Arabidopsis thaliana: one gene and its partner. The protein of the gene in region 1 purifies or fractionates together with the protein of each later gene. This does not show direct contact. Each region holds a gene or a part of one and is shown in the gene's direction. Other genes may lie near its edges.

What was found.
Region 2: the proteins of SYP52 (region 1) and SYP21 purify together in Arabidopsis thaliana (affinity purification with western blotting, with the first as the bait; one study listed by BioGRID). This does not show direct contact.

Annotation. Positions count from the first base shown.
Region 1 is NC_003070.9:29,941,617-29,952,920, forward strand, and holds SYP52 (syntaxin of plants 52), read left to right. Parts: upstream 1-4,857; 5' UTR 4,858-4,971; coding exon 4,972-5,060; intron 5,061-5,443; coding exon 5,444-5,665; intron 5,666-5,784; coding exon 5,785-5,990; intron 5,991-6,085; coding exon 6,086-6,186; intron 6,187-6,267; coding exon 6,268-6,312; intron 6,313-6,556; coding exon 6,557-6,688; 3' UTR 6,689-7,191; downstream 7,192-11,304. Other genes in the region: SMB (NAC (No Apical Meristem) domain transcriptional regulator superfamily protein), read right to left, coding at 1-57, 145-416, 1,120-1,309; AT1G79600 (Protein kinase superfamily protein), read right to left, coding at 8,489-8,617, 8,702-10,147, 10,265-10,492, 10,568-10,900. UniProt on the Arabidopsis thaliana protein: Vesicle trafficking protein that functions in the secretory pathway.
Region 2 is NC_003076.8:5,528,408-5,539,913, reverse strand, and holds SYP21 (syntaxin of plants 21), read left to right. Parts: upstream 1-4,618; 5' UTR 4,619-4,761; coding exon 4,762-4,970; exon of another isoform or gene 4,971-5,321; coding exon 5,322-5,415; intron 5,416-5,618; coding exon 5,619-5,755; intron 5,756-5,983; coding exon 5,984-6,058; intron 6,059-6,320; coding exon 6,321-6,478; intron 6,479-6,576; coding exon 6,577-6,677; intron 6,678-6,772; coding exon 6,773-6,838; 3' UTR 6,839-7,068; downstream 7,069-11,506. Other genes in the region: TERT (telomerase reverse transcriptase), read left to right, coding at 1-126, 299-828, 928-1,200, 1,318-1,591; BPA1 (binding partner of acd11 1), read right to left, coding at 1,888-2,409, 2,523-2,597, 2,821-2,890, 3,050-3,159, 3,867-3,872; HSF3 (heat shock factor 3), read right to left, coding at 7,417-8,604, 9,211-9,468; AT5G16810 (Protein kinase superfamily protein), read left to right, coding at 10,036-10,262, 10,620-10,718, 10,809-10,866, 11,086-11,166, 11,270-11,335, 11,446-11,506. UniProt on the Arabidopsis thaliana protein: May function in the docking or fusion of transport vesicles with the prevacuolar membrane.

The DNA of each region.
Region 1 (11,304 bases):
AAATCCTCTGAAATGATTCTTCTTCTTGAACACTCTGCATACAACCCACCCATCTTCCTGCAAATTACACATTAATGATAAATCCACTTTAAGCATTATGATTAGAGATTTCGAGAGTTAAACATTAATTGTGATATGTTGTACCTGAATTTCGTTTTCGCTATCGTCCAAGCGATATTCGTGCATGATCCATTCGGTTTTTTGGCCATGAGGAGCACGACCAGTGTAGAAGACAAGAGTCTTACGAAGTCCAATCTTCTTGGAGCTGTTGAGATGTATGGATTTGTCTCTACCAGTAGCTTTCCAGAACCCGGCTGCTGTCGCCCGGTTCGTTCGGGTCCCAGTCGGATATTTCTTGTCCTTGTGGCTAAAGAAATACCACTCGTTTTGAGGACCCGACCCGATTCTGCATTTCTCTACATACACACAACAACAAAATTTGTTATAAATATAATTGAAAAAATACAATTGTTAATTATAGTCTTAAGTATATATATATATATATTTAAACACACATTTCAAATAAATATATTTACGGCTTACGGCGATGGGTTGTTATATGTCTTCATTGTGAAAAACCATTGACTTATTTTGAGGGTAGTACAAAATAATATTACAAAATATACATTCGTAGTCATATACTACAAGACATTACACTTTGGTCTTCTGTACATAAGTGAATAGACAACTTGTCTCTTTCTTGGTGTATAACGCGCACACACACGTATAAGGTTTCATGTTTCCATAAAAACTGGAAAATAATTTATCAGCATATATGAGAAGAACTGTTCAAACTTAAAAAGACACAAGTAGATGCATGTTTCCATAGAGATCACAGACAAACTCCCTAGACAATATTACCACAATCTATGTATATAATTGTCCTTTGACATCTAACTTGTAATCTTGTGCAGGCCAACGACATAATTCCCCAGATTTTATCTAATCTTACAGCACTCGCTCTATATATAATTAAAATCTATATGACGTTGATTGTGATAGTCTATATACTAATATACTGATCAAGAAATAATTAATAGTCATTCATTAAATGTGTGGATTAGGTGATGGTAATTATAGTTAAAGAAGAGTTAACTATAAGGGGATTATAAATTTTACCTTTAAGTTCCCAAGGTTCCAGCTTGTTGAGATCAACTTCTCTAATTACATCTAAATCAATTGGTTCATAAGAAACCTTCTTCTTGAGGTAATAGTAAAGAAGCTCCTCCTCCGTTGGATGAAACCGGAATCCCGGAGGCACCGAAAGCTGTCCTCCGCCAGCCACCGTGGATGACGACCCTATCTCCATTATCCTTACTCTTCTTTAAGCAAACTTTGACGCTTTCTTTTCGACCTTTGCCCTAATGAAATATTAATTAACCCCAAAGAAAGAAACACACATTATATTGAAGGTTTTAAGTTTTAACAAATTGAGAAATGAATGGGTTTGACCATGCAAGTATGTATCCAATAATCTCAAGGTGTTAATTGGGGTTTGGGTTATATTAGATCTAAAAATCAAAACCCTAGGTTTACCAAATGCATGCATATAGTCACGAAGAACAAAGGCTCCAACTTATTAACCTTTAATTTTAAAACAAAAGATGAATCTTCTATTACATATACCCACATAAGTAAAACCTGAATGTCCAAGAGAAACATGAAGGTGCTGCAAACTGAACGATCTTTGTCTGCTTCTTAAACAAGAGAGGTTTAATGATAGAGACTTAGTCATGTTCTTAAGTAATCAAAGAAAAGAAATGAAAATAGAGAGATGTTTAAGACGAAAAGTACACATGATATATATGAGGAAGTGTGAGGGAGTGCGTGTGTGTATATATATGTAGATGCAGATGATGATGACGACAATGAAAGATATAAGATGGATGAGGAAAGAAACGAACCTTGGAGGCCGGAAAGTATTGCTTCTGTTAGAGGCAAGAGGTAGAAGACAATGAAAGAGAGAGAGCGCAATGAAGTAAGCAAAATGAATTTCTACAAAGCTGAAGATATCTTAGCTTCAAGGGCACGATGTTTAGGGTTTCTATCTCTCTCTCTCTCTCTTTCTTCTTCTTTGAGATAGAAAGAAAGTGTGGAAAGAGAAAGATAGAGAAGCTTGGCTTCTATGGATCAGTGCCACTATTATTTTGTATTAAATTTAATAAACCAAAGCTGGTCACAGAAATATATGAGAAATACTTTAATATGTATAGGCAGTTTCCATTAAATAATTTTTCTTGCCACATATATAAACCTATTCATATTGGTATAAACATCAGCTAAGATGATCAGATCATTCCTATCTAGACTATATATATGTATCTCTCTTACATGGTGATCTGCAAATAATTTTGAAGATTCACCGTTCCATGTCCAATGTTGTGCCTAGCTAGGGCTTAGAAGGTCTATAGCGAATGAAGATTGTGCATGATGTTGTGCCGAAAATAATCTTTTTCTTCGACACTATGTTTCGTTTTTTGTTTCTAATTAATATCAAGTTCTTCGATTTACATATTTGTACAAATCATCGAGTATAAATACCTAGATATACATCTAAAGAATTGTGTATACTATCTTTGACAAAAAAAAAGAAGAAGAGAATTGTGTATATATTACGTATTAGATAGCTACAATATTATTATTTTCTACTGTGACGTAAGTATGATTATGAGGATTAACTATACTAATCAGTAATCACTATGGATTACAGCTGTTATATAGTAAGGCTGACTAATTTGCTTTGAAAACAAGTAGGAATCGATTAATGAGAATGAACTTCGAATACTATATAGTACATGGTAAATATAATATAATACAAGATCTGGTTTATGTATCCCAAGGACAAAACAAAACAGGAATTGAAGCTTCTATGCCCTCAAAATTGCAGTCAAATGTTGGGAAGAAAAATGATGTATCGTACCTTGAATTATGCTCCCACTTACTTTTTTAATGCATCAATTTCAGTGCAGTTTCGTTGGAAATTTAGAAATAAGATTTTCTACAAATGATCTTAATCCTTAAAGTTCCATATTTGCTCCTTACTTACCATATTAGTTATATGAATAACGTTAGAGTGTTCATCAAAAAAAAAAAAAACGTTAGAGAAACTATGGGATTTAAATGAACAGCTAATTATACTATATGATTGAACGTGCAAGTAATATTGGCGCATTTCCACTAGCGTTTTTTTTTCTTAACATTTTGTAAGACAATTTTCATGTAATTTTCTTCTGCTAATTTTTTTTTAGTTTAAACTTTAAAGTTGAAATATTAATACATAATAACGTACGTTCAGTTCACAGACGTTCTTAAGGTTCTGCAAATAGCAGGATTACTATTAATGTTTCCCTATAATGTGTATACACATGATTTATCTGCAGTTGCGTCAAACAATCATAACTGAATTTGTATATATAAAAAGGCATGGGGGATCGATCTTCAAAACTGTGGATATGATTTCCTGAAATATAACTCTTACAAGTTTATGAAATAATCCATTTGATATAAATAAAAAAGTTCACTAAACGAACAAATAGATATAGAGACTTTAGAGCCTTTGACAAAAAGAATAAGAAGAAGAATTGGAATGCAAAGAAGAAAAAAGCAATAATGGAAACCGGTACGTAGGAGGAGGAGTGTGGCACGTGCGGTAGAAGAAGCAAAATCCTGAAAGGCCGTGGAGGAGAGCACGTGATGGTCCAACACCAAATCCACAATTCAAGGTCCCTCGTTTGACTTCACTCTCTCTTCTTGAGATTCGCCTCAAAATTTATCTTCTTCTCACTTTTTTCCCCAAACGAATTACATAAAACTATTAAAGATAAAAACGAATATGATATGAATGGTAACTTTTAATTTCCTAAATTCCATGTAAGATACACGAAACACATAAAAACATTGGATTCTCACGGTAAATAATCTCTTCGTAAAACAATTTATGAAACTTACAAGTTTCTGTTGGCCCAATATTATCTTATTGAGATGTGCCGTTGCCTTCACGAAGACGTCATGCATTAAACCCCTTATTAATGAGCGTTTAATCATATAGAGATACCAACATGTTCTGAAACTTATAATCTTATTTTAGAATCCCCATTATGGCTAATTAAGTGTACGTATAAAATTCAAAGTGATACGCAATTACCTTTAGTATACAATATATATATATGTGTTGTACACCGTTTGGTTCAGGTGAATTACTGAATCACCTGGCTATTTTATAACAAGGAGGGAAATTAAATACTACCATTTTTCGGGTATTTATTATATAAAACATTTTATGAAAATTTATATTAGCCAAACAATCTAAGAGATTTCATTTAAATTAATTACAAGTGTTCATTGTTGATGGATAAATTGCATATTGAGGATGAATACCAAAAAGGTAGGTAGATGCCAACTAGACCAATCTTGTGCACGGCGTCGTTTCATGAGTATATTAAATGGGCCTTAAAAGTATTACCCTTTTTATGACGACCCATTTAATTTAGGAAGCCCAAAGATGAATAAACCTATTATTATTGTTTATGTGTTTATACTTTTGAACCCATAATTTATTTCTGTTATGTCATCTCAACCCTAACTTTATATAATCAGTATTAAATCCAGGCATCTTCAACGAGCCGTCAACAAAGATAGGAAAACGTAGTCGTTTGATACAGCTGGTATAAAATCTGAATTCATTCTTCAAATAAATTAAAATCTTCGTTGGCGTTGTTGTTGGTTGCGTTACAGATTTTGGACTAATCATTATTTTCGTGCCTGCAAAGTCAGCACGACGATCGCGTTTCGATCTTCAAAGTAGAAGAAGACCCGCCACAATCACAAATCGCGGTGCATATAGTCTAAAGGGTAAGCTTTTCGATTCCTTTCACCATGTAAATTTAGGTCAATTCCGTCGCTTCTTTGATTTGGGGTGTTTTTCCTGGCGCGAAATCTTTCCGATTTTCCCTGATTATGAATTTATAAATAATGGGTATCGCAGATTTTGGGTCTCAGTGGCTGATTCTTTTCGACTCTAGTTTCTGCTTCCGCCGTCTCATTTTTTTTTCTACGCAACAGTAAAGTTTTTATTTTTCCACCTGAATTTTCGGATGATGGCCGAAGATTTTGTGTCTATGCTGATACCTAATTTTTCCATCTGAAATTGATTTTATTCACTGCTATTTTCATTTTGTTTTCATATCATTGTGACTCGCTACTAAAAGCTTCTAAATTTGTTGCCTTTTTGTGAAAAGCTCTTTACACGGTCTATGGTAATTGTGTTAAGATTCTTGTTCATCATGTACGAGATTTTCATTGGGTCACAAGAGTTTCGTTGTTGAAGCTACTAGTTTTTTTCATGATCAAATACTTCTTTGAGCTACTTGTGATTCTCTTTACATGATCTTTATGTAGAAGATAAGTATTGCTGTGTTTTAATTAGTTAGGTACTTGTTTTCAGGTCAATGGCCTCTTCTTCGGATCCATGGATGAGAGAGTACAATGAGGCTTTGAAACTCTCTGAGGATATTAATGGCATGATGTCTGAAAGGAATGCCTCCGGGTTAACCGGGCCTGATGCTCAACGTCGTGCCTCTGCAATTCGAAGAAAGATCACCATTTTGGGGACTCGATTAGACAGTCTGCAATCCCTTCTTGTCAAGGTTCCTGGCAAGCAGCATGTGTAAGCCATTCTGATTCTGGTTGCCTGTTCAAACTCCTCATGTTAGACAACGCTAAGTTTCATGTTGGTCTTGAACTATGTAATTATGGTTTATGTGTATGCAATTTGCTGATAAACAGTTCGGAGAAAGAGATGAATCGTCGCAAGGATATGGTTGGGAATTTGAGATCAAAAACAAATCAGGTGGCCTCTGCTTTGAATATGTCAAACTTTGCAAACAGAGACAGCTTGTTTGGAACAGATTTAAAGCCGGATGATGCGATAAATAGAGTCTCTGGCATGGACAACCAAGGAATTGTTGTATTTCAACGGCAAGTTATGAGAGGTAAGATGTGGTATGTAACACTGTTCTAGGACCATAGTAATGATCTTGGCGTCTGTATTAATTTCTCTTTGATTGTATTTTATTTCCATGAGTAGAACAAGACGAGGGACTTGAGAAGTTGGAGGAAACAGTCATGAGTACCAAACACATTGCTCTCGCTGTTAACGAGGAGCTCACCCTGCAGACAAGGCTTATTGTATGTCTCCGCTGTTGTTCATTGCTTTTCTTGTTGATTTTGATTTCTTATTCTAACGAAATGGGACTTTCTTCCATGCAGGATGACTTAGATTACGATGTGGATATCACTGACTCTCGCTTACGGGTAAGTATATGCTTCGAACAAATTAGTCTCATTAGTCACTAGCTTAAGCTGGTCCATTGATAAGCTAAAGAACAATAGGAAGGCAAGCAAGTGATTTTAACAATATACTGGTCTATTATGTCTAAGAATCTCTCGGTCGTTGCTTTTTTTTTTTATCATAAAAAGCAATAATTTTTTAGTTTAATGTGATTCACATCTCGTCTTGGATTTGATGTAGCCTGTTTGTGTTTCTTGATGATTGCAGCGTGTTCAAAAGAGCCTTGCCTTGATGAACAAGAGCATGAAAAGTGGTTGCTCATGCATGTCTATGCTCTTGTCTGTGCTTGGAATCGTTGGTCTTGCTCTTGTAATTTGGCTGCTGGTTAAGTACCTGTAATGCCAATGTGGTGGCAACTTGTGAAAGCTCATCCTTTTCTCTCAGCCTATCCTCTGTGCTTAATGGTTGTTTTCTATTCCTTCTATCGATTGATTCGTGTCTGTGAGGCAAAGAAGAATACCACTGCGTGTAAGAAACCCTCAGAAGTACATAATCTGTATTACCTTCGTATCAACCACGAATTGTAAACTAAGTTGACATTTGTCTATATATGGTATGGCTCCTACTTGGTTCAATAAAGAGAACTAGTGGCTTGGACAATGCAGAGACATAATGGTCAAGATGGCAATCATTTTTTTATAAAGTGACCATCAATTTTTTTATTGTGTGGAAAAATTGATCTCAGTCACATTCTGTAAGGTTAGCCACTTGGCCTTTTAGCTCTGTAGGCGCTGCTTATGATGGGGAGCATTGGCAATCACCTCCTTTGGGGTGATTTCATTGTTTGATTCCGGATTAGAATATGAATTAAACATCTCTAATTGTTTCAAAATCAATTTAACTAGAAATTTTTTCTTAACAAAAGTAATAGAAACTTTTTTGCTTTGTTGTATTTCACAACTCGAAATTGTTATAACCAAATAAATAGATTCATATTTTCTTAAAAAGACCTATAGGTTTGGGTCGAAGTTAAAGATTAAATAAAGTTTTCTGGTAACATTATTTCAATACTGTCAAATAAAAAGTTGTAAACAAAAGTCGCGCGTCATGATTCTCAATATATTGGTTCATTTGATGTTTATAAATTTTTAATGTTTTTGTATACGGAAAAATAACGTATTGTGACAAAAATAGCGTATACGAAATAACCAGGTTAATTGTTTATGGGCTTGTTATTTTATCATAAAAATTTAACCACAGATAAAACAGACATGGGCTCCATAAAATAGGCCCGAAAGACTTAACTTCTTTTTCTTCAAAGTGAAAATACCCATCACGCGCCCCAGTTTATTTATTTTAGCGAAAACAGCAATTTTCGTATAGTCCAGGGATTTCGGGGAGGTGGCGTCGACGCGCTCATTGTGAGAGTGGGTAAAAAACTTAGATTTCACAGCTGCACAACAACGCGCGTCACATCTGGGCAGACTTTATACTGCCCATTGGGCTAGAAGAAGCTTAGTTTTCAGATACTTATAGGCCCACAAAATGTCCAACAGCATAAATAAGCCTTCGATGGCATGCTGATCATAAATTTATCAATTTTAATTCTTATTCATTGGCTGCTATCTCCTCTGATTTTGTTGTGCTCGATGTCATTGTAACTGAAGATGCGGTGTAGAAGCAGTTTTTCGTATTATCTGGATAAATGTAAATTTGTATGCATTTGCTTTTTCATTGTTTTCCTAATGGAGTAATCATGTTGATTCTGGATTATGTCTTCAAGTGAAAGTAGGTTCTCTAGCATGAAGGTTTTAAGAGAGAACTAGGAGCTCAACAAGTTGCGTTGTTTTTGCTTCTCTTGATGAACAATAAAAGGGACAAGCTCGAGCTCGAAGCAGCGAATCAGAAACGAGAAACTTACATAGAGCCCTTCCCTCCAGCATTAAAAAGGATGAGCACTTGAGTTTTTGGACTGTACATTGCTCAACTGTGTATCAAACTGTTAAATCCCACAATTTTGCAAATTAAATGCCTATTTTTTGGAGGTATTTCTCATTGGTTATACTTTGGTCCTTTTTCACTAGTACAATACAAAGAGAAAGAATGATACTATATTACTGTAACATGAAACAATTCTGTGGTTTGCGAGTGTCTCGCCTTAATATACAATTTACCATTTCACTGAGAAGAAAAGAGGACCTATGGGGATGGTGCAGAAGATGGTGTTGTGGCTCGAAGAAGTTGTTGCAGAAACCGAGCTGCAAGACGTTGGCCTACACCGCCTGCAACACGTCCTCCAAGTCTTCGTGCCTCTGGTTGTTGTAACACCTGATTTTAAAAATATAAGAGTTTAGCTCATCAATCAATTTTATGTTATGTACCAGTCTCAGTGCACAAGATCAATGAAGTCACCTGTAGTATTGGTTGCAAAATAGCAGGATCAAAGCTTTCTGAAGATTGAAGAAGGCCCCAGATTCTGGAGACCTGATCCCGAAGCTCAAGCGTACTTTGAAGTTCCGCGGTACTCATTGTAAGAGGGCCATTCCCATTTCCATTGAAGACAAGAGATCTCAGAAACTCAGGAAGGGAATTGTATGTATCAACAACAGTGCCCAGCGCAATTGCTTCACTGACTCGTACAGCTTCTTTAATTACTAACAATCGAAGTTCTTCGCCATTTGGATCCAGCAAAAGCTTCAAAACTGGTTGTAGAGCATCCTTTGCTGAGAAGTCTCTATCTTTACTTCCCTGTTGTAGAAGGTTCTCGAGTCTATTCCACCTAAATTTTCCGTCTTTGAATAGTAGCTCGATAAGGGCATCTCTTAGATACGGGTTTGGATCAGTGAGAAGCCTTTTGGCAAAATATGGGTATGAAGCAGCTAGTACTTTGAAATTAGGATCTGCGTAGAGTGCCAAACCTTCAAGCACAGTAAGCGACCTCAAAATCAAAGCATAGTAGGGCGGGACATTAAATGGATACTGGTAGAAGACAGCACCTAGACCATCAACCAAAGTTTTGAAATTGAGCTCGCTCACGGTATAATTAAGTGCATCGTCAAAGAAGTCTCTGAGAGCTGGTATGATAGGAGTAACATCCACATCAGGGGACAAGAACTTCAGAGCATAGTAATCTCGTGCCATGGCTTCATAATCTCGGTTCACTAAATGGACAACATGGCCTATGATAGCAAATCTAGCTTCCTCTGGTGTCTCACTCATCATGCCAAAGTCTAGAAAGGCAAGTTTTCCATCAGGTGTTGCCAAGAGATTACCAGGATGAGGGTCAGCATGGAAAAAGCCATACTCCAAGAGTTGCCTTAGGCTACACTGGATTCCTGTATTCACGAGATCCAGAACCTTCAATCCCTGACTCTCAATGGCAAGTTGCTCATTCAGTTTAGTTCCCTCAACCCATTCCATTGTTAGCACCTTGCGGCTCGTGTAATCCCAGAATATATCAGGCACAAGAACATCTGCTTTATCTGCATACAATTTTTTAAACCTTCTGGCATTTTGGGCCTCCTGGACATAGTTTAGCTCCTGATAAACTCTGCAGGCGAACTCATCGATAAGGGTAAGGACATCGGTAGTGATGAAGTCTACATACTTGTTAATGAGTTTCCCAACTCCTCTAATAAGGTAAAAATCAAGGCCAATGGCTTCTTCGATCCCAGGGCGTTGAACTTTGACAGCAACAACCTGACCTGAATACCTCAGCTGAGCTTTGTAAACCTGGCCAAGACTAGCTGCTGCGATTGGCTCAGGAGATACAGACGAGAAAATGGTCTCTAGCGACAAATCCAACTCTCTCTCAATGCAAGCAAATGCCTCTGCATCAGGGAAGGTTGGCAAAGCATCCTACTTAGACACTCAAGCACATAATATAGAGAAAGTTAGAGATGTTCTCTTTACCTATTTTCAAACAGAAGATTCTTAATTACATATACGTAAAGCAGAGAGAGGAAAGAGGAGAACCTGAAGCTCTGCAAGTTCTTCAAGGTAATCGGGTGGACAGAGGTCGGGTCGGGTGGACAAACCTTGACCCAATTTAACAAAAGTAGGTCCGAGACGAGTGAAGATCCGCCGGAGCTCGATTGCTCTCTTCTTCATGTTCTTCTCTAAGTTGCCCTGCTTCTGGTCAATCCCCAATTTCAAAGCGAAACCACCCAAAGCTCCCAATATCTCCAAACTTCTCCGCAAAGCCTAAGTCCCAAATTGAGCTGCATCTCTCAGTAACTTACAAAACTTGAAACTCCAAAAAGTGACCAAGTAGCTAACCTTGAAAGGCTGAGAGCCATGTTTCCTGGCGATGAGCTCCGGAGAGTAAATAGAAGCATCAATAGCACGACCCAAAGCTCGTGCCTCGGCTTGAAGATCATCCGCGAGATCAGCTCGTCGGTACTGCACAACTGACGCCGGTCTCGACGATGGGGAAGGACTTGCCGCCGCTCCGTCTTCCTTAGGCCTAGCTTGTACCAGGGCCGCACGCGCCAATCTCCTCCGATTTACCGAGAAAAACTTTGATTTTCCGACATTTATTTTGGAATTGCGTAACGAAAGACCATCACCGACTAGAGTTAAACCCAGAGACTGACCAACCACCAGACTCATCGTGTAACAACAAGAGCCCCCAAAACTCGGCGAAAATCAGAGAGACAAGGAGGAAGAAAGAATTCAGATTGTGATTGCCCAGCCAGTAACAGCCATGAAAGAAGATGAAGAAGAAGAAAGAGAGAGCGAGAGAGAGCGAGAGAGAGAGAGATATTTGTTGTAAACGAAAGATTAGAAGCGTTTTTGGTTACTTACTTCCGGCGAATAAACAAGGTCCACACTTTTGGCGTGCCGTGACGTTCTCTATTTTTTTTTTAATTCAAACCAAACACGACTACAAGACAAAAAAGGCATTATAGCATTTTCCCTAAGAGTTTAAAACTAACAAAATTCGTGGTTCAGTATAAACCAGCCATGGCCTTCTTCAAGTTTTTTTCTTTCTTTGTGTGAATGTAATTAGTTTC
Region 2 (11,506 bases), on another chromosome or scaffold:
GTCTGCTGTGGGAAGAGATCCAATTGGGTAAACAAAATACTAGTCTCGAGTGACAAAAATTCTAACTTTTCAAGATTCACATCAACTGTTCCATATAATGCACTGCAAAGTATCGTGGTTGATAAGGTATGCTTCTTTTTGACCTAGAGCTTTTTGATCTTTTTGCAGAGGGTAAAATACAAAACTATTGGACTACTTAAAAAAATCTCTAGAGATCTCTTTTCTTAGTGCTTGTAGCGTCCCTGTTGTTCTTTACTTATTTGCTTAACGGTGTTATGGTTTTGGTCCAACCTTCTAGGGAGAAAACCATCGAGTGAGGAAAAAGGATCTAATGGTTTGGATAGGAAATATGCTAAAGAACAACATGCTGCAGTTGGATAAAAGCTTCTATGTACAAATAGCTGGAATACCTCAGGGACACAGATTATCATCCTTGTTATGTTGTTTTTACTACGGGCATCTCGAGAGGACTTTGATCTACCCATTCCTCGAAGAAGCCTCTAAAGATGTGTCTTCTAAAGAATGCAGTAGAGAGGAAGAGCTTATAATTCCCACGAGCTATAAGTTACTGAGATTTATTGATGACTACCTTTTTGTGTCTACCTCAAGAGATCAGGCGAGTAGCTTCTATCACAGGTTGAAGCATGGATTTAAAGATTACAACTGCTTCATGAACGAAACAAAATTCTGCATAAATTTTGAAGATAAAGAAGAACATAGGTGTTCTTCTAATAGAATGTTTGTGGGAGATAATGGAGTTCCTTTTGTCAGATGGACGGGTTTGCTTATTAATTCCCGCACATTTGAAGTTCAAGTTGACTACACAAGGTCTGCCTCATCTCCTGTATGTTTCCTTCATAAGTATACTTGTTTGGCTCTGTTTCCTCAGCTTTTATTTATAATTTTGCCTCAAATTCATGGAAACAGGTACTTGAGTGGCCATATAAGCTCAACTTTTTCTGTAGCTTGGCAGAACAAACCAGTTAGAAATCTTCGGCAAAAATTGTGTTACTTCTTGGTTCCGAAATGTCATCCAATTCTATTTGACTCGAACATCAACTCGGGAGAAATCGTCAGGTTAAACATCTATCAGATCTTTCTGTTGGCTGCAATGAAGTTTCACTGTTATGTCTACGAGGTGTCCCGGTTTTGGAAGCTTCATCCTCAAACTTTGTTCAAATTCATCACAATATCTGTCAGGTATGGAATCAAAACTACATCATATGTCTGTGAGCATTTCGGTTTTTGGATCATTCTGATTTGAGTTATTCGGTCTTTTTTTGCTTATTCGGTTCTTGATTTCTTTCCAACTGATAGGTACATGTTCAGACTCATAAATAGAAGGGTGCGCAGAATCAACACTGGTTCTAGTTTCAGACCAGTTCTTAAACTATACAAAGAAGAAGTGATATGGCTTGGCTTAGACGCTTATATTCAAGTTCTGAAGAAGAAAAACTCGAGATATCGAATGCTCTTGATCTATTTAAAATCTGCACTTTCTAAACACTCTCTTTCTCAGCAGCTATCGTCGGAATTGAGGTATGCAACAGACCGGTCAAACTCTTCTTCGCTGTGGAAGTTGAATTATTGAAACTGATCTTAACTAGATTTTATCATCGAAACTTAGGTAGATCCTTTAAATTTCTATTTCAGTCATTTTGATAATCTAGGAACAAAATGGATTTGTAACATTTAGGGTAAAGAAAGATTTAAATGTCAACTTATTAAATATGTATATTGGAAAAAACCCAAACTATAGTCTAATAGTGGTAGGGAAAATCCAGGCATAGCTTATATGGTACATCCCAAAGACCAAACCAGATTTCCAACTTCCATGTCAAAGAAACCAACAAGGAGAAACAAAGGAAACTGTTTAACTTGATGATATTAGTTCTTCGAGTATTCGGACGAATGAATCGGAGAATACCCTTCTGGCAGTTGCTGCTGCGACTGTGCTGGTTGCGATGGTTGCTCAGCTTCAACCTTCTCTTTTGTTTTCTGTCCAACCTCTCCAGCTGCTTGAGCCACTCTATTGAATGCTCCTGCGGCCCAGCTCACACCAGTTAACACGTAACGGTTCTTCATCACAGCGCTTCCTGCACTGCTCACAGTCTGCTCCGCAGCTGCATACACAGACTTGGTCCTCTCTGTTACCTGAAAGTTTTGGTCCACCGCCTTGATTTTTTCGTTCACCAAGCTTGTTCCAGCTGTAAGTTTCTGGCTAAGACCGATTTTTTGGTCTAGTGAAGCAACTCCTGCGGTGGCGGTTGAGGTGAAACCATGTTTCTCATCAAAAGCTTTTGCTTTGCCGACAGCATCTTTCCCAAGAATGAAACCCTTTGCTAACATGCTGCTCACAACATCTTCTGCCTTCTGGACAACAGATTCTGCACCGCTGCTCTGTGTTTCCTGAGAAAATTAACACAAATTAACACCTCTACGAAATTACTGCTCTATTGAGTGTTGAGATGAATACTTTTCACTAATCAAAAAGAAGAAAAACAGTATGAAGAAGACATTACAGCATGAGGGGCTGCTGGTGGACTGTAGTTGGGAGCCAACTCAATGATGACTGATTGATCGGCAATACTCGCTCCCTGAAATAACACCCCTTGTTAGTAATGCAAATTGCAAATGGTCCCAAATATTAGTTGTAAGCAAACTAATTTTACTTATAAATACTCAGAGATACTTTGTCTGGACTAGAGAAGTATAACCATATTAAACGAAGGTTTATAGACATGGATTGATTACTAAATTAACAGTGTTATGTAAGAGTTGAATGCTACTACAATAATATTGAGATAAGAGTGAACCCACAGATAAGAGCACAGCAGTCTCTGCTCCTTGAGTTTCTTTAAATGTGACATAAGCACTATGCTCGTTACTGCTAGTTAGAAAAAGAAAACAAAAACAAAGCTCAGAGTCAGTAAGTTTAAGAGAACTGTATCTAAATTTGCTGAGAAAAAGCTTCGGAAGTTAATTGATCAAAAAAAGCTTTAAATGTCAAAATTTTGAAATCAAAGAACAAGGAAACAATATCACTAACCTTTGGATATCGATGCTTTCAACTTCACCAGAGAAAGAGAAAAACTCTTTAATATCATGCTCAGTTGCTCCTGAAGAGAGATTGCCAACTTTTACTGACCTTACCTGTGACTGTCATCATAAAGAATCAAAAGGGAAAGAATCATTAACGAAAACAATAAACAGGTGTTTCATGAGAATGTTTACAGTACAACTACTTTTTGTATCCAAGCATATCTAATCGACCGAAAGTCCCATTTTAATCAAATCAGCTCAAACTCAAAGAAGCCTAGATTTATCACAAGATTATACAATTATGCAAGTAAAGGGATAATATTATAGTGGCTTAGAAGATGACTGTCATCATCTCACTATACAAAAAGAAAACTCGAATGAACCATGAAGGCTACCAATTAAGGAAACTAATCGACAATGTATGGAGGAATCTAAAAGTAAATTGGCTAGCGAGATTCGGTTCCAAATTGAGAATAACACAATCGCGATTTACTACGATAAACGAAAACCAAAACCGAGAAATCAAGGAGATAATAGAGATAATTGCACGAATACAGATCACACAGAGATACAGAATCAATTAATAACGACAATAATAATCATCAAACTCGTCCAAATAGCATTGGAGATATTATGTCGGCAAGTGCAGCAATCAAACAACAGATCATCCAAATTGAAGAAGAAATCAAATCAATAGCCAAAAATATCAATCCTGAGAAAATTTCCCGATAAACAAATGGATCGCAACAATATCTACCAGCAGAGGAAACCTAAACCTTTTCCGCATAAAACAAAATTATACACAAAAAAAAAGTAGAGCATACCGCCATGGATGTTGATCTTCGAAGTCGCGCAGAGAGAGAGATATGTAATTTGTTGCTTTTGTCACGCAGATTCAGAGATTGGCCTGAAAACCGAAACGTACTTCGAGATCGATGATGCGTAGATAGATAGAGAGGGAAGAGTGTATTTTGCTTTATATGACACCTCACACTCAACGTGTGGGTTTGCGTTACGCCCTTTAATCCTATTTTAGTCCCTAATTGTTTCCAACAATTAATATTTTCACTTTTTTAGTATATATTTCTATTTTTTCCCTCTTCAGTTCAAAACAAAAGTTAGGAGTTTCGTAACACAATTATTAAGTTTATGTTTTATTAGAAAAAAATACATAAAAATTTTACTTTTTATCAACAAAAATATATCATTGTTTTTCTATAAAAAGTGGTTTATGTATCAAAGTGATTACTGTAATTATTAATTCAGTCATAAAATATGATAACTTGGTAATTACAAAAAAGTTGGACTTCTCCTTGTTTTTGGCCCAACTCTTCTCTTTTCCTTTTACTAAACTCCAATGTAGCCCAAAATCATTTAACCAATCCTTATCCTGCAAACCCACTCAATTGGTCCGGTTTACTCGAACCGAGTTTCAATTTTACACGGAAGGGCAGGTGAGGTCAACAACGACACGCAGGATTCTTCCCTCGCAATGGCGTGTCACCGCCAAATAATTTATACGTATTAATAAATTCCCTCCACCACCATATTCACGCGGACCACATGAGATTAAATGATTTATACAAATTATAAAACAAAAATTAACATTAAATTTTGGGAAAACTTATAATTCACCTAACTCATTTCCATCATCTTCGTCTTCGTTTGTTCCCCTGAGATAGAGATAAGAGAATTTCGAGAGATTCGAGAGAAGAGACGATGAGTTTCCAAGATCTCGAAGCTGGTACTCGATCTCCGGCGCCGAATCGTTTTACCGGTGGGAGACAACAGAGACCTTCGTCTCGTGGGGATCCATCTCAGGAGGTCGCCGCCGGGATTTTCAGGATCAGCACGGCTGTCAATTCCTTCTTCCGCCTCGTTAATTCGATCGGAACACCTAAAGATACTCTTGAATTACGAGATAAGCTGTCAGTAGCAATTCTTAATCACACTCTTCTTCTCTTTGTTAAATCTCTGTTGATTAGGGTTTTGGTTTTACTTATTGATTTTGGTCGATTTCATTTCAATTTTTAATTGAAAAAGTTTTCTAATTGTTTTGAAGCTAATCCTGCATTATTTTCCCTTAACCGAAGAACAAATTTGAGTTTGCTGATCGATGTGAGACAACATTGCAAATAATGCCTGACAACATTGCAAATAATGAGCTTTTTGTGTGTGTGTGTGTGTGTGTGTGTATTGAGAAATTGTTTTTTTTTTAGATTGGTTTCATCTATTTGTTCTGTGAATTGTTTTAAAGTGTTAGGTTCTTTTGTTGGCAGGCAAAAGACAAGGTTACAGATATCCGAATTGGTGAAGAATACTTCAGCTAAACTTAAGGAAGCTAGCGAAGCCGACCTTCATGGATCAGCTAGTGTAAGCAAATGCTTACTTTTTTGTTTCATTCCCTTACGATGCTATGGAATGTTAGTGTCTAAGAGAACATTTTCTATTGAACCAGTTTTATTTTGGTTTAATTTTGTCAGAATCGTACCATTTTATTCATTTAGTGGGAGAATTGTTTACATGATTGATGATATGTGTATTCTAGTTTTGATGTTATGTTTGTATTCTTGCAGCAAATTAAGAAGATAGCTGATGCTAAACTGGCAAAAGATTTCCAATCAGTTCTCAAAGAGTTTCAGAAAGCTCAGAGACTTGCAGCTGAAAGAGAAATAACATATACTCCTGTGGTCACAAAAGAAATACCTACCAGGTAACCACTTTGACCAGTTATGTTTCAATACCTGTTAAAAAACAGAAGATCATGGTAAATGAATCTCGTTGTTTCCTAAATGAGAAGAAAAAAAGTCTCCGGATTATATACTCGCATGTTATTATTGTTGTTTTGTACAAAAGAATTTTTGAACGTAGGATTGTTCTGATATTTTGTGGAATGTGAGTTTCACTTACACATGCTTCATTGTCATGCCACACCATGCAGTTATAATGCACCTGAACTGGATACTGAATCTTTAAGGATCTCCCAGCAGCAAGCTCTTCTTCTACAATCAAGAAGGTGAGGAGTGTGATTTGATTATATGCTAGCATGTTATTTTACTAATTCATTTGATCAATTATAAGCATAAACCAAATGTTAGTCTAGCATGCATTTTGCTCTCGAGAGTTCAAATTCAAACCATCGTTACACTTGGCACTCACTGTAGCCTGAATTGTTAATAGAAGCCTTAGAATAGGTTAATAAATTTTTCGAAGTTGGTTATGTCCCTGGATGCAGGGAGATGCTTGCTATTCGCTAACTTTTTATATTCTCATTCCAGGCAAGAAGTGGTGTTTTTAGATAACGAGATAACATTCAATGAAGCAATTATTGAGGAAAGAGAGCAAGGGATTCGAGAAATTGAAGACCAGATTCGTGATGTGAATGGCATGTTCAAAGATCTAGCTCTTATGGTGAACCATCAAGGAAATATTGTCGGTAAGTAACTCCAAACAATCAGAAATTGTAAATCTCCCTGTTCGTTTTCTCTTTGCCTTTTTAAAGTCTCAGAAAAAAACTATAATGTGCACTGGCAGATGACATCAGCTCTAACCTTGACAACTCACATGCTGCAACTACACAAGCCACTGTTCAACTCAGAAAAGCAGCTAAAACTCAAAGATCAAACTCCTCTTTGGTACGGACTAAACAGACTCTCTTCTCATTTTCAGTTCTGTGATTTCATATTCTTAGCAGCTTAAGCTAAGTTTGTTGTCTTTTACTTTGTTGCAGACATGCCTACTTATTCTCATTTTTGGGATTGTTCTACTCATTGTCATCATCGTTGTCTTGGTCTAAGCATCAAACATATAACTCCAAGCTTCAATCTTCAAGCATCAAGCGAATCTATGGAAACTATACAAAGACCCATTAAAGATATATATCTAATGTACAGATTCTTTATACTCCATCTTCCCCATTCAACCAAATTGATCTTAACTTCTCATCGTGTGAATGTTTAATCAATGTATTACTCCATCATAAGGATCTTCATGATCAAAAGAAATAAACATAAGAAAATAATCTTGATTTTTTGGTCATTAACCGGTCAGTGACCAACAGATTACCGTACTAGTGAGATGATAATTGAACAAGATGAACGTTTTCACACAAAAGTATAATATAAACAACACAAAAACCGATCTCTACTAACTATTCACAAGCTTGGTGGTAAATCTTTTATGTTTCTTCTCTCTGTTTTTTTTTCATTTAAGTAAAAATGTAAAGGGTATACACACCATCTGATATATTCCTCGTTCCTTCATATCTCCTTTTGCAACCTCCCCTGAAAATCTACATTGTGAGAGACAATTGATAACTCTCAAGATATACAACAATGCAGAGAAACATGTTTGAACTTAACGATGTTCTTACCTTTATTTCCTCTGTGCTTCTGAGGAAAGCAGTCCCATTTGTTCAGTAAGATACTTCATTTGTTGTTCATTACGGGTCCACTCGTTTGGTTCTTGTTCCAATACCAAGTCATTATTCTCCACTGATCCTGATAGAATATCGTCTGTATCTGCAATCGCTGGGAGTTCAACAGAAAAGAACTGTTCCCAGAATGGATCTTGGATTCCGGGCAGCTTAGGGACTCCCTCCAGTAACTCATTCATCTTGCCCTCACCTTCAGGAGAAATTGCATCGCCTTCTGACTCATCTAAAACAGCCATTATTGGATCAAAACACTCTCCACTATCTGTCTCGCATCCAACTAAATCAAATTCAGGGCTCCAAGAGTCTGCAGGTGCTGCTCCTTGAGCCGGACTTTGACCTATATTTGGCTGAACCAGACCAGCTTGAGGATGATGAGCCAAACTTGCTTCGGGTACTTGATTCGTTGCTGACTGAACTGTGTTGGGTGAAAACTCGGCCAATGTTACTCCAGAAACTCTACTTGAAGGGTTCCCATTGTCTACAGAGGTAGAACTGGGAACATCACCCAATAGGAAACTGTCAGGATTGTTTGAAACTGATTCATACCGAGGTGAGGTACTAGTATTTAAGAACTGTCGAAGCATATTTTGTGCTGCTTCGTTTATCGACGGCTGATATCTAACAATCTGGCGGTTAAGACCATTAGCCACATTGTCACCACGATTCTCCTGCTCATCTACAGGAAGTCTCCTCTTTTTGTTGCTTCCTGGAATTTGTCTGTTGCCATCATTATTATTCTGTTGTACTAACTGGTTTAAGAAACCTGGACTTTGAACAGCCTTTGCTAAAAACGACATCATTTGTTGTTGCCTTTGCTCCATCACCTGAACTTTCTGTCCCACATTCTGCAGTTGGTTTTCAGTAGCTTGCTGTTGCTGCCTTAACCTGACGAGTTCTTGCATAAGAACATTCTTATCCCGCTTAAGTCTTTCCACTTCTTCTTCTATTCCAAACTTCCCCACCTCGACACAAGCACCAACAGATGAGCTCTGAACTTGAGTTTGTTGCTGATTCTGCTGCACATGCGAAGGTTTTCTCCTGACAATACTCTTCAGTAGTTGTTTTCGGCCTCTAAGAAATCCTTCATTTGCAAATTCCCATCGGTCAGGATCAACTTTTCTGAAACCCTGGACATCAGAATACAGAGAGGCTATCATAAATATCGAAATTCAAATTGAAGAACTGAAACGATGTTGCTTGAATTTAGGGGAAGAAGAAAAGCCAACATAGCGCAATTGTACAAAAATGTATAAACATTAAACAGGTAGACTAGAAAACAGACCAGATTAGTTATATGTTCTAGTTATAGCAAAGTTTGAGAAGTAAACAAATTCTCCACACTATGCTTGGGTGTAGCACAAAATCACCATGTTATAAGGAAAGTAATAGTTCTTAGTTTATCAAAAAAGTGTACCTGGACGGAAATATACAAATGAAAACAAAGCTAATGTTCAGACAACTGATAGACATTCTGTTTTGTTAGAGCTACAAGGCAGAAAACAATTGAGGAAACAATCTTCAGACATATGTGACAGTGCGCCTGCAAAGTTCTGTGGAATCTTTTGATGAGTAGACAGATTGATATGGCTTTAAAAATAATCCAACACATCCATGGATCTAGTCACTAAGACTAGAACCCTTCAACATTTCACGATGTTCCCCAAATTGTACCACGAAAAAACGATCAATTTCTAGAAAAATAAATTGACAATAACACAAAAAATGATGCTTACATAAGTATTTAACTGTCTGACGAAGCTGGAGAAGTTGTTGTGCTTGAAATACTTGGGCAAGAGCACCTTCGAGAACTCCGGGGCACTCCAGACGACGAAGCTGTTGTTCCCGCTGCTCCACGAAACGACCTCATTGGTCAACGGATCATCAACCATGTCGTAGGTTTTACTCAAGAAAGGCGGTACGGAGTTCACCGGCGGTGGTATTGACGGTGTATTCGAGTTCGGCGATGGTACGGATTCGGGAACCGATTCCATAACTTCGAATGAAAAATCAAGAGTTAGTTCACTAAAGTTGATCGATTGATTGATCCTGGAAGTTTCTTCTGTTCTTCTCAAGCTCAAATATCTTTTACAGAGACAGAGACTCTCTCAAGTGTTGAAGACCCAATCTTTGATCTTTTCCCTTAAAGCTGAAGAAAAGCAGGCATGGCCATTTCGGTTCAATTCAGTTCGGTTTTGTACGATTAGTTTTGGTAGACACTCTGACTGTCACCTAAATTAAACGGTTTCATTTCGTGTATTTTGATTTGGTTCGGATTAATTCGGTTTAAAAGTACACGTAGCATCGATAGCAGCTTTTTCTGTTTTTCTCGGTGAGTTTCATACGTGGCATAATATACACCGTTAAAATTTAATAAGATTATCTCAGATATTTATCTATACGACGCACGATTATATCATTTAATTATGTATATTAAAAGCCACGTAAGACACAGAGAAAACTTTCCTGGCTCTTATCTCTCTCTCTCTTATACTGACACTGACACTCGTTAAATCCTGGAAAGTAATTTGAAGTGAAGCGACGAAACACAAACAAAAGCGATGAATCTGGTCGCTATTCATCGCGTTTCCTTCGAATGCGTTTCGCGTTTCTCTTTGAAACATAGAGAATCAGGCGATGGATTCTCCGGCTGTCGGATTGTAAATTCGCGTGGACGGAATCGGCCGATTCGGCGGTTGCATGCGGTGACAGCGAGTTTGATAACCAGTGCTGACTCGTTCGAGGTAGGGCGGCTTATCGGAAGCTACGGATTCATGAATGTAACTAGGTACTCTCACTGGATTTTTGATTTCTCTCTTTATCTGGAGCTTCTGTGTTGTTTCTACGTCTTCGTGTAACGAAATCTCTAATTTTATATCGAAATTGTTTGTGTATGTGTGAATCTGTAGTTGCAACAGGTTTATGCACTCATTGCAATGTATACGTGAGCTTGACAATTATTCGAAGGGTTTAACAAAAAAATCACTTTTGTTAGTGTATTTGAATTGGGATACATTGACCTTTCTTATGATTATTGTGCATCTTTAGCTAGATTATGCTACGTTTGTTGGTCTAGTTTTACTCTTTTATCTGCCGCTGTGTTCTACTTCGTTTACTTAGCTTTTCACCACTTCTATACTCCTAGTTATACAGGGCTGCAGTCAGGATCTGACTTTGAATATACGTCTGATGATATTGGGCGATTAAAATCTCAAGATATTGGAGAAGGTGCCGTTAAGATCAGGTGCACTTTTGGCTTTGTGTAGACAATTTATTAGATGGTAATATATTTGGTCAAGTTAAAAATGTATTAGCCACAGCAGTTTGTATGCAGACTATATCAAGGACGAATATCTCAGGGTCCATTTCGAGGAACGCCTGTCGTCTTTAAGGTGATTCTGCATGTTTTGTCAATCTTGTTTCTTCTTCTCAGCCAATATTGTTCTTTTCCTGAAGGCAGTTTCCATTTTTCATGAGTCTCTCTACATTATCTGGGCATATTTTGTTCAGCTGTGCGAGTCCTCCTTACATTATTAGAATCATCAAAACTTCATTTGGATATTTTATTGCTTTGCATTCATTCTTTCCCTCACATACTTGTCTCTGTAAAGGTCTACCCCGGACAGCGTGCTGGTGGAGTTGAGGCTGACATGATGGCAGCAAACGAGCTTAATGCACACTCTTTTCTCCAGGTTGGATAAATAGCCATGCAAAAATGCTAAATAGATTCTTAGCAATTACATCTCCTTGGTGGCTAATAGTGAAATCAACTTGTTATTCTGCTTGTCTATACAGAGCAAAAGCCTGCCTGCTAATCTGCTTCTACTTGTTGGTGGCTTTGAGACACAACTTGGGGAACAGGTCAGGCTTACAATATGTGGCACTGTAGTTTGTTGAATCTAAGCTGCACTAGTTTGTGGATATTTTGGCATACCTTATGGAACATAGGCTGAGTCAATTCATTCTTACAGTGGCTGGCTTTTCGTGATGGTGGGAAAGATAGTGCAGCTGACTACGCGCAAACTGCGAGTG